2 linked regions of the Drosophila melanogaster genome follow. The protein of the gene in region 1 interacts with the protein of each later gene in a biochemical or structural test. Each region holds a gene or a part of one and is shown in the gene's direction. Other genes may lie near its edges.

What was found.
Region 2: of the proteins of PK1-R (region 1) and Capa, one has a biochemical effect on the other in vitro, tested with the Drosophila melanogaster proteins (one study listed by BioGRID).

The regions. Positions count from the first base shown.
Region 1 is NT_033777.3:14,099,023-14,104,721, reverse strand, and holds PK1-R (pyrokinin 1 receptor), read left to right. Parts: upstream 1-1,599; 5' UTR 1,600-2,004; coding exon 2,005-2,863; intron 2,864-3,391; coding exon 3,392-3,609; intron 3,610-3,771; coding exon 3,772-3,924; intron 3,925-4,013; coding exon 4,014-4,076; 3' UTR 4,077-4,890; downstream 4,891-5,699. UniProt on the Drosophila melanogaster protein: Receptor for the neuropeptide CAP-3/pyrokinin-1 (TGPSASSGLWFGPRL-amide). Also activated weakly by other neuropeptides terminating in the sequence PRL-amide including pyrokinin-2, Hug-gamma, and ecdysis-triggering-hormone-1.
Region 2 is NT_033777.3:29,912,491-29,916,646, reverse strand, and holds Capa (capability), read left to right. Parts: upstream 1-2,300; 5' UTR 2,301-2,389; coding exon 2,390-2,453; intron 2,454-3,044; coding exon 3,045-3,206; intron 3,207-3,276; coding exon 3,277-3,506; 3' UTR 3,507-3,656; downstream 3,657-4,156. Other genes in the region: trp (transient receptor potential), read left to right, coding at 8-227, 439-604, 660-820, 880-1,034, 1,095-2,051; CG31036 (uncharacterized protein), read right to left, coding at 3,866-4,156. UniProt on the Drosophila melanogaster protein: CAP-1 and CAP-2, but not CAP-3 are ligands for the Capa receptor. CAP-1 and CAP-2 are probably components of the signal transduction pathway that leads to Malpighian tubule fluid secretion via the second messenger nitric oxide.

The DNA.
Region 1 (5,699 bases):
TGGATTTAGGTATAAGGGAAGCAAGACTCTCCCGATAAGAAAGAACGGAACTTTTGGAATATATATTCTTTTGAAGAATTTTACTTTACTTAATCAACTTAAAACATTTAATAAATGTTTGCGTGTGTTATATGCTAATCGAAACGATGGTAGAGGACTTAACATAAGATGCGTTCTACGTATAAAAGATATTCAGCTTCTTTTGAAGAAATCTAATAAATACTAAATAAATGGATAAAACTTTCAATTGTTTTTTTGAAGTTTTTTTTTTATTGTTTTTTGATTAAATATAGTGCCGGTGGTGCCCTACCTAACTTTGCAGTTGACAACTTCCGTGGCGGTGCAGCACATAAGCTTTCATCCTTCACCCAAATCACCGACCGACGTTGATTGATGGGTTCGATTCATTTCCCCCAGTTCGACAAACAGTGGGTAGAAAGCTTTGCAGCTCCCCGCTGCACATGAAAAGCTTTTCAAGCGGGGAAAACCATTCGACTCGTGCCAAATTCCAGAGACATTGCACGCACTTTGACACCCATCAAGAGGCGTGTGCCGGGTTTTGGCCAATAACTGGGCAGGGGGGCGGCTATATCTGGCCATATCCAGGTGGGGAGGGGTCGGCACACTTAGCGTTTGCCGGTGCTAAACGAGACGAAACGAAACAAATGAATGAAAATATTATGTGGCCATAGAAAATGTCACTCGTCGACGGCGTGAAGCAACTAAAAAGCCCGAACTGTCTTGAGAATCGCGAGGCGCATTCGGCCAAGTTGGTGGTTCTACCATGGCCTCTTGTGTTGTTGTTGGCGCACAGTGGCTAATGTCCCGAGCCAACGTTGCTGCTCCATAGACACTATGAAATATTGTTGCCAAAATACACACACGAATGCGGCCCGAGACGGACCCGTAAATAAGACTGGAAGGTGCGCGAAATTTCGAATGGTGGTGTCACTAAGTTGGGCTAAGTTGACGCCCTGTGCATCACAAGCTTACACAAAATATAGTTTAATTAATCTAAATTAGATTTGAATTGTAATTATTATTATTTGTTTACATTTCAATATACTTTAGTAAGATAAACAAAGAACAATATTCTTACTTATAAGCTAACAAGTAAGCTGGCTGGACATTACTCATACGCACGGTGGCCTTCGGTCATTTGGTATTATTGCATCATCTAATATTATTGCATCTTATTTTGGCTTTTAATTCCAAGATGTGTTGTTTACATTATCGTGGTTTATTTAGGATTATGTGCATCACAAAGTCAAAATTCCCAACTAAGTGTTTTATAAATGGGCCAAAGCAAACATTATTACAAGTTTTTGTTAATTAGCCTTTTTAATTACCCAAAAATTGCGTTGTATTCGGAGCCATTGTGCTTAGTCTCTAACATCGGCTAGTCCCATCAAGATATCGCCGCTTTTCAAGATTTAATTGAGCCGGCACGTTCGCTGGACGCTCGGTCATTACAACCATGTCGCTCACCTTCCGCGTTCATGTGAGGGAAAAACAGCGACGCTTCGTCGCTGGCTTTCAGATACAGATACAAATCTGAATGAAATGTCGCCGCGGCTTATCAGATAAGTTTGGAGCGCGCTGGAGTGCGGTTGCAGGCTGCTCTCGGGAATCAGAATTCGAATCGAAATCAAATTAACTCGATAACTTATTGAAGAGAAGTCGGGCCCCCTAGAAAAACAGCCGGGAATACGGAATACTGAATACTGAATACGGTATACGGATCTCGACCTCGTCGGTAATTTGGTGCGTTTGCGTGCCAGTCGAGTATCTGAATCTTAGAATCGAGTATCTAGCATTGCGAAGCGCGAGTCCAGACCTGTCCCTCCTCCGCCCGGTCGCCTCCAATAAATTATTATAATTAGCATAGTTGAGGGGACATCGAGTCGCAGCCGGAGCCGCAGCAGTTAAACGGCAGTGGAATTTAGCGCTGTTAGTGGAAATTTTGTGAAAACAAAAGGGGAAAAATTCCAGGCCGCCGGCGCCATGTCCGCTGGCAATATGAGCCATGATCTTGGACCGCCACGCGATCCGCTGGCCATCGTGATACCCGTAACGGTGGTCTACTCCCTCATTTTCATAACCGGTGTAGTGGGCAACATAAGTACCTGCATTGTGATTAAGAAGAACCGTTCAATGCACACGGCCACGAATTACTACCTCTTTTCGCTGGCCATCTCGGATTTCCTGCTCCTGTTGTCGGGCGTTCCGCAGGAGGTGTCCTACATCTGGTCCAAGTACCCGTACGTGTTTGGGGAGTACATCTGCATCGGACGTGGTCTGTTGGCGGAGACATCGGCGAATGCCACGGTGCTAACGATTACGGCCTTCACGGTGGAGCGGTATATTGCCATTTGCCATCCGTTTCTGGGCCAGGCCATGAGTAAACTCAGTCGCGCCATTCGCATCATCGTCCTGGTTTGGATTATGGCCATAGTTACGGCCATTCCGCAGGCTGCCCAATTTGGAATCGAGCACTATTCGGGAGTGGAGCAATGCGGCATAGTGCGGGTCATAGTGAAGCACTCATTCCAGCTGTCCACGTTCATATTCTTCCTGGCTCCGATGTCTATTATCCTAGTGTTGTACCTACTTATCGGTGTGCACCTGTATCGATCCACTTTGGTGGAGGGTCCTGCCTCGGTTGCCAGACGGCAGCAGCTGAAGAGTGTGCCCAGTGATACGATCCTATATCGCTATGGTGGATCCGGTACCGCTATGAGTTTCAACGGCGGAGGAAGTGGAGCAGGGACAGCGGGCTTGATGGGCGGCTCGGGGGCTCAACTTAGCTCGGTGAGAGGTCGGCTCAATCACTATGGCACCCGGCGAGTACTCAGGATGCTAGGTAATTATAGCACGATATACACTGGCGAAAAATACCAGCAATAGTACGGGGGTATCACAAATTAAATGACAGATCTCTAAACCGCTAACCATTAAGTAAACATGACTTAATAGTATTCAGATGATTAAATTAGTAAGAAATTTTGACAAAAACAAAAGTAGAAGACTCCGTTTTTAATAAGGTTTAGTCTTCTCACAAAAGTCTTGCAAATTAAAAATTCTGAAATATGATATCTAAATCTTTCTTTATATGCAATGAAGAACCATTTTAGAAGCTTTACTTCAACTTTTGCTCAGTGTATGCCAACTGTTTGACCATATGCCCTAAGCTGGGCTAATCAACCCGTCTGCAGCCAATTTACTGCGTTTGTCATTTTGGCACTCTCCATTTATGATGACAATTGCGATTACCAAAAAATATAATCGTTGACTCTTTATCTGTGACTCTCGCTGTGTCTTCCCCATTTCCATTGCCATTCCATTTTCATCCCCACGTCACTGACTTTTACCGCCCCCCCCTCCCCTTTAGTGGCCGTGGTGGTGTGCTTCTTCCTCTGCTGGGCCCCCTTCCACGCCCAGCGACTGATTGCCATCTACGCCCCTGCACGGGGGGCCAAACTGCGGGATCAGCACGAGTTTGTCTACACGGTGATGACCTATGTCTCCGGTGTCCTCTACTACTTGTCCACCTGCATCAACCCGCTGTTATATAACATTATGAGCCACAAGTTCCGAGAGGCATTCAAGGTGAGTAAAACGGAAGTGGGGGTTATAGTATGCGCAATACTATATTTCAAATTTATCTGTATTATAAATATTTATATATATTTATTAATATATTTATTAATAATTCGAATGTCTGAATTTTTCTATTTAACTAATTACCTTACCGATTTCCCACTCCTTTAGGCCGTTCTGTTTGGCAAGAAGGTATCGAAGGGTTCGCTGAATTCGCGAAACAACATCGAATCGCGCCGCCTGAGGAGGGCACTAACCAATTCCAGTCAAACGCAGCGCTTCTCCATTGAGTCGGCGGAGCAGCCGAAACCGTCGATAATGCAGGCAAGTGCCCCCTATAATCAATGGATAGGTTCGATATTAACTGGCTCTCTCTCTCTCTCTCTCTCTCTCTATGTGTACTCCACATCCAGAATCCGACGAACAAGCCGCCAGTCGCCGCTCAGTACGCCATGATCGGTGTCCAAGTCAACTAACTGATAAACTCGAACTCACTCTCTCGTGCGGCTTCCTGATGCTAATTTATTTGAATTCTGTTTAAGCCAGTTATTTGTCGTCTATTGCTATTGCTGCTGCTACCAAAGCGTTTTGTTTAAACTGCTTTTGCATTCATTTGCATTTGGCAATTAAAAGTTAATCACAGTCGAGCGCACACTCTCCCTTAAGCATTAAGTTTTTCATTCATTCAGCTGCGGACAACGGCTGGAAAAACTCCTAAACTAGTCTTTCAAGTATTCAGAATTATTCAGTCTAAGAATATTCAATCTTTTGACTCATACTATTCAGCATACTGGCGCTCTTAAAATTAAACTTTGGTCAGAGCTCGGGGGATTTACTCTTAAACAAGCCTGAGGCGGATATAACTTAATAATATTATCGATAATGGTAAGCATAAATCAATCACTAGTGAACGCCCACCATTTAAATATAGGAATTAAATTTAAAAACGAAAAGCTTGCCCCTTGAAATTTAATAGATCGCCTTTTAAATTGCGTAGATATATGTTTTAGTTAACCAAATGTTTCACATGCATACCAAAGTGTAACACAGATGTGCTTTTAAAGTGTTTAGTTAAGAAAGTGTAAAAAAAAATGTTGCGATCTTAAACATAGTAGATTCTGTATATTGTATTGAATCGCATTTAAAATAAGATTTCGAAAATGTAGCATTCAACTCAATGGAAATGACGGACAAAGTTCGCTTACTAAACTTACTTCTAGAGATACCTTAAAGGATGAATTTGCTGTATTAAGATTATTCCCATGGCTGCAAATAAAGCTTAGCATATTCCGCGCCCGCTTATTTTCCGCATCTTTCTATGGATTCATTCTAGTAAAAATGTAATTTGGCCATAAAATACATTTGGGTTTTTATCGATTGTGGCCCTGTCGTCTGCGCCTTGTTGACTACAAATGAAATTCTAATGAGGTGGCTACTGGTTCAAGGTCATGCAAATGCAGGGACAACGTGGCGCATTAGTAATCCTCCAAATTGTTATGAAAATGCAATCAGCCAAATGGAAACCCCAGACGAATTCACAGAAAGTGCAAGTACTAGTAAGGATTGGCCGTAATGAGCAACCAGCAATCGCATTAAAGCGACGCAAATGCGTCAAAGTCCAAAGCGCAGCGGGCCATAAAGGAGCAAACAAGTCAGATGGCTAAAACAAAAACGATTTGTTCTGCCAACGTCACGTAAAGCCAAAAAAGAATTGGCTCAATACAACCGGCAAGAGGAGCAAAAGCCACGTACACACCCATACGCACACATGTCCGCAAAGTGACGTAGAAATTATGAAGTTTGTGATTTACGAGCAAATCGGGCAAGAAAAAGCAGCAGGAAGGTGAAGCGGAAAAAACGACAAATGGGTGAGTTAAATTACTATCCAAACTTGGGATACCTTGTAATAAAGTAAGTTTTAATACACTAAATTGAAGAAAAAGAAAATATACCTTTCGAATTCTTTGGCTCAGATTTTTTAAGTACTACACACTCGTAAAATTTATTTATTTATTTATTCAAAATTTTAAAAAAATTTAAATAAGCGATATTTTGACGCACAATATTTAAACTTTTCTTTCAGATGACATTGAAATACT
Region 2 (4,156 bases), about 16 Mb from region 1:
CTCCCAGCGAAAGTCCATGGAACGGGCACAGACGCTGCATGACAAAGTGATGAAGCTGCTGGTCAGGAGGTACATTACGGCGGAGCAGAGGCGGCGGGACGATTACGGCATTACCGAGGATGATATCATTGAGGTGCGCCAGGACATCAGCTCCTTGCGGTTCGAGTTGCTGGAGATTTTCACCAACAATAACTGGGATGTACCCGACATTGAGAAGAAGTCGCAGGGTAAGGGAAGCCTACCCACATCCAAATTGGCAACTTACACGTGTCTTAAGATAGAAGTAGCAGTATATATGAATAATTATTTACAATTAGCTTTTGAATACCTAATAAAGTTCACCCCATCTTGAATATTAATTTGAAATATGTTGTGCTAGAAGACTACAAAGCTAGAATGGATTTTAATGGATTTTATTCACTAAACTTACTTTTGAAGGAGTTGCTCGAACCACCAAGGGCAAGGTGATGGAACGTCGCATCCTTAAGGACTTCCAAATCGGCTTCGTCGAGAATCTGAAGCAGGAAATGAGCGAATCTGAGAGCGGACGAGATATATTCTCATCGCTGGCCAAGGTCATCGGCAGAAAGAAGACCCAGAAGGGGTAGGTCCACTTAAATCTGTAAGACGCTTTGAATAATGGTTATTATTCTCAACAGAGACAAGGATTGGAACGCCATTGCGAGGAAGAATACTTTCGCCTCCGATCCCATTGGCTCCAAGCGCTCCTCCATGCAACGTCATAGCCAGCGAAGCTTGAGGAGGAAGATCATCGAGCAGGCGAATGAGGGTCTTCAGATGAACCAGACCCAGTTGATTGGTAAATTAATAAAGATGTGCCCAATGTATGTATATTTCCATACCCTTGATCTCCTCCAGAATTCAATCCCAACTTGGGTGATGTGACGCGTGCCACAAGAGTGGCTTATGTCAAGTTCATGCGGAAGAAGATGGCTGCCGACGAGGTTTCCTTGGCCGATGACGAGGGTGCTCCAAATGGCGAAGGCGAAAAGAAGCCACTGGATGCCTCTGGGGTACGTTCCAATCAATATATGTATATGTATTCCCTGGCTAATATATAATCTCACTTGCAGTCTAAAAAGTCCATAACTAGTGGTGGAACTGGAGGAGGAGCTTCTATGTTGGCTGCAGCTGCTCTAAGAGCATCGGTTAAGAATGTGGATGAAAAATCCGGAGCCGATGGCAAGCCCGGCACGATGGGCAAGCCAACGGATGACAAGAAAGCAGGTGATGATAAGGATAAGCAGCAGCCTCCCAAGGACTCCAAGCCGTCAGCAGGTGGTCCCAAGCCCGGGGATCAGAAGCCAACTCCGGGTGCGGGAGCTCCAAAGCCCCAAGCAGCTGGCACTATCAGCAAGCCCGGTGAGTCACAAAAGAAGGACGCTCCGGCACCACCAACCAAACCTGGAGACACCAAGCCTGCTGCGCCGAAGCCTGGAGAATCCGCCAAGCCCGAGGCCGCTGCCAAAAAGGAGGAGTCTTCCAAGACCGAAGCTAGCAAGCCGGCAGCCACAAATGGAGCAGCCAAGAGCGCAGCTCCCTCCGCTCCTTCGGATGCCAAGCCGGATTCCAAACTGAAACCTGGAGCAGCTGGAGCACCAGAAGCAACTAAGGCAACCAATGGGGCCTCCAAGCCGGACGAAAAGAAGAGCGGTCCGGAGGAGCCAAAAAAGGCTGCAGGAGACTCCAAGCCAGGAGACGATGCCAAGGACAAGGATAAGAAACCCGGCGACGATAAGGACAAGAAACCTGGCGACGACAAAGACAAGAAACCTGCTGACAATAATGATAAGAAGCCAGCCGATGACAAGGACAAGAAGCCGGGAGACGATAAGGACAAGAAGCCGGGTGACGACAAGGACAAGAAGCCGAGCGATGATAAGGACAAGAAGCCTGCCGATGACAAGGACAAGAAGCCAGCAGCAGCTCCTCTGAAGCCGGCGATCAAGGTGGGTCAGAGCAGTGCCGCAGCTGGCGGAGAACGAGGCAAATCCACGGTCACAGGACGCATGATCTCCGGCTGGCTCTAAGCCGCGGAATCCACTTTCATAGCAATTAAATAGTTAAGTCCTTTGTTTGTGTGAATAATAAAAAAAAAGAATCTCAAGTACCACGTTTCTGCAACTTGTTGCTAAAGGCCACCTGTTGCCAGCAACATCTCATTTGCATCGCAGCAACATTCATCATCCGCCCCGTTGTTCCGATGGCAATTTGTTTGTCTGCCATCCATCCGCCTGCTTTTCTGGCCTATAAAAGAACGTGAACTTCGACCAGAGGAATCAGAAGAACCGTGACCGTTCCGAGGATAACATCAGACCGAAAAACATATTCGCCAAGCCAGTGTTTCGTCCTAAATAGTCTTGCAAATATGAAATCTATGTTGGTCCACATAGTTCTAGTGATTTTCATAATCGCCGAATTCAGTACAGCTGGTGAGTGGTGGAAACATTACAAAATCGCTTTTAAGGAAATCTTAAACAACAAACTAGTCTATCTCGACTAAGTGCTGCTGCTATCTTTTGTTAACTTTAAAGTGAAAATAGTTAAATGCTTTTTAATAATGTTCAATAATATTTTGCAGCACCTTTAAAAGAAAGAGGTAATGGTAAAAAGACCTTTCCAATTTTTCATTAAAATGTTCTACTTAGAAAAGTTGTTTATTATTATTTTATTAACTTTTTTTTTAACACTTAAAGCACTTCTTGAAGAGGCATGCAATTTAAGTCGTACACAGTGTCTTTTTATATCAAGCTCTTTAAATCAAAAAGGTGATTTCAAATCTAACCGCTGAAATAATAAAAGCCACTTAAGAAGAGTTAAATATCAAAGAAATAGTTGTGGCACTCTAAATCTATAATTCAAATTTAAAAAAGGTTTTAATCACAAAAAGCCTTAATAAAAATATTCAAGTCACTTGAGTTACTTTGGCGGTTAGGCTACGAAAATAGCTTATTCCACGGAGACTTAAGAACAATAAGATGAGAACATTTGAATAAATTGCAATCCCCAAACACTCCATTCAGAGACGGACCACGACAAGAACCGACGAGGTGCCAACATGGGGCTCTATGCCTTCCCGCGCGTTGGTCGCAGCGATCCCAGTCTGGCCAACAGTCTGCGCGACGGATTAGAGGCCGGAGTCCTCGACGGCATTTACGGAGATGCCTCCCAGGAGGATTACAATGGTAAGTCGTTGCGGCCGGATACGGTTGACTAATTGGTCCTAACGCCCCGGGGACGCATGTGCCATTCCAGAGGCTGATTTCCAAAAGAAAGCCAGTGGTCTGGTGGCCTTCCCACGCGTTGGCCGCGGTGACGCCGAGCTGAGGAAGTGGGCCCACCTTCTGGCTCTGCAACAGGTGCTGGACAAGCGCACGGGACCCAGCGCCTCCTCGGGATTGTGGTTCGGTCCCCGGCTGGGAAAGCGCAGTGTGGACGCCAAGTCGTTTGCGGACATCTCCAAGGGACAGAAGGAACTCAACTAGACACACTGACTCCCCCTTTTGACACTCTGAATGTCGTAGATACTTTTGTATATCAAAGAGAACGCTTCTAATTGAATATTGTAACGGGTATACAGCAAATATGTTTTTCGGTCAAATATATATTATGAATAAGGGCTGGTGAGAGCTTGTAATTAATGTCTTTGCGTGTCCTTCTTGCCATTTCAAGTATGTAAATATAATAAATCATATAAAGTAGCCTGCTCAAGTACCGCGTTACAACTGGGATTCCTTTTGGAGTATTAAGAAAAGTTTATTCTAAATGAATTGCAAACAGTTTTGGTTCGGACATGAATGATACGCCATTGCCATGACATGGCTAAGATCATCCGTTGTGGGCTCTACTCCTGCTGTTGCTTGAACTTTCGTAGCTCGGACTGTATGGCCTCGATAAGGGGTGCAGTTCCCGTTCTACTGCCCGATGGAGCAGTCGCATCCAATCGGGCCTCCATCCTCTGGAAGGGTCCTGCGCTCACTGGACGATTCAGGGTGGAGTGGGAGCTGTACATACTCCCACCTCCCCAGGCACTGTAAGTAGGCGACGGAGGTTGCGTCGAGTGCGCCGACTTGGACGTCTTCTCCGGCTGAGCGGTTGCCGGACGTTCAGCTAAGCTCTTGGGTTCCGCCGAAGG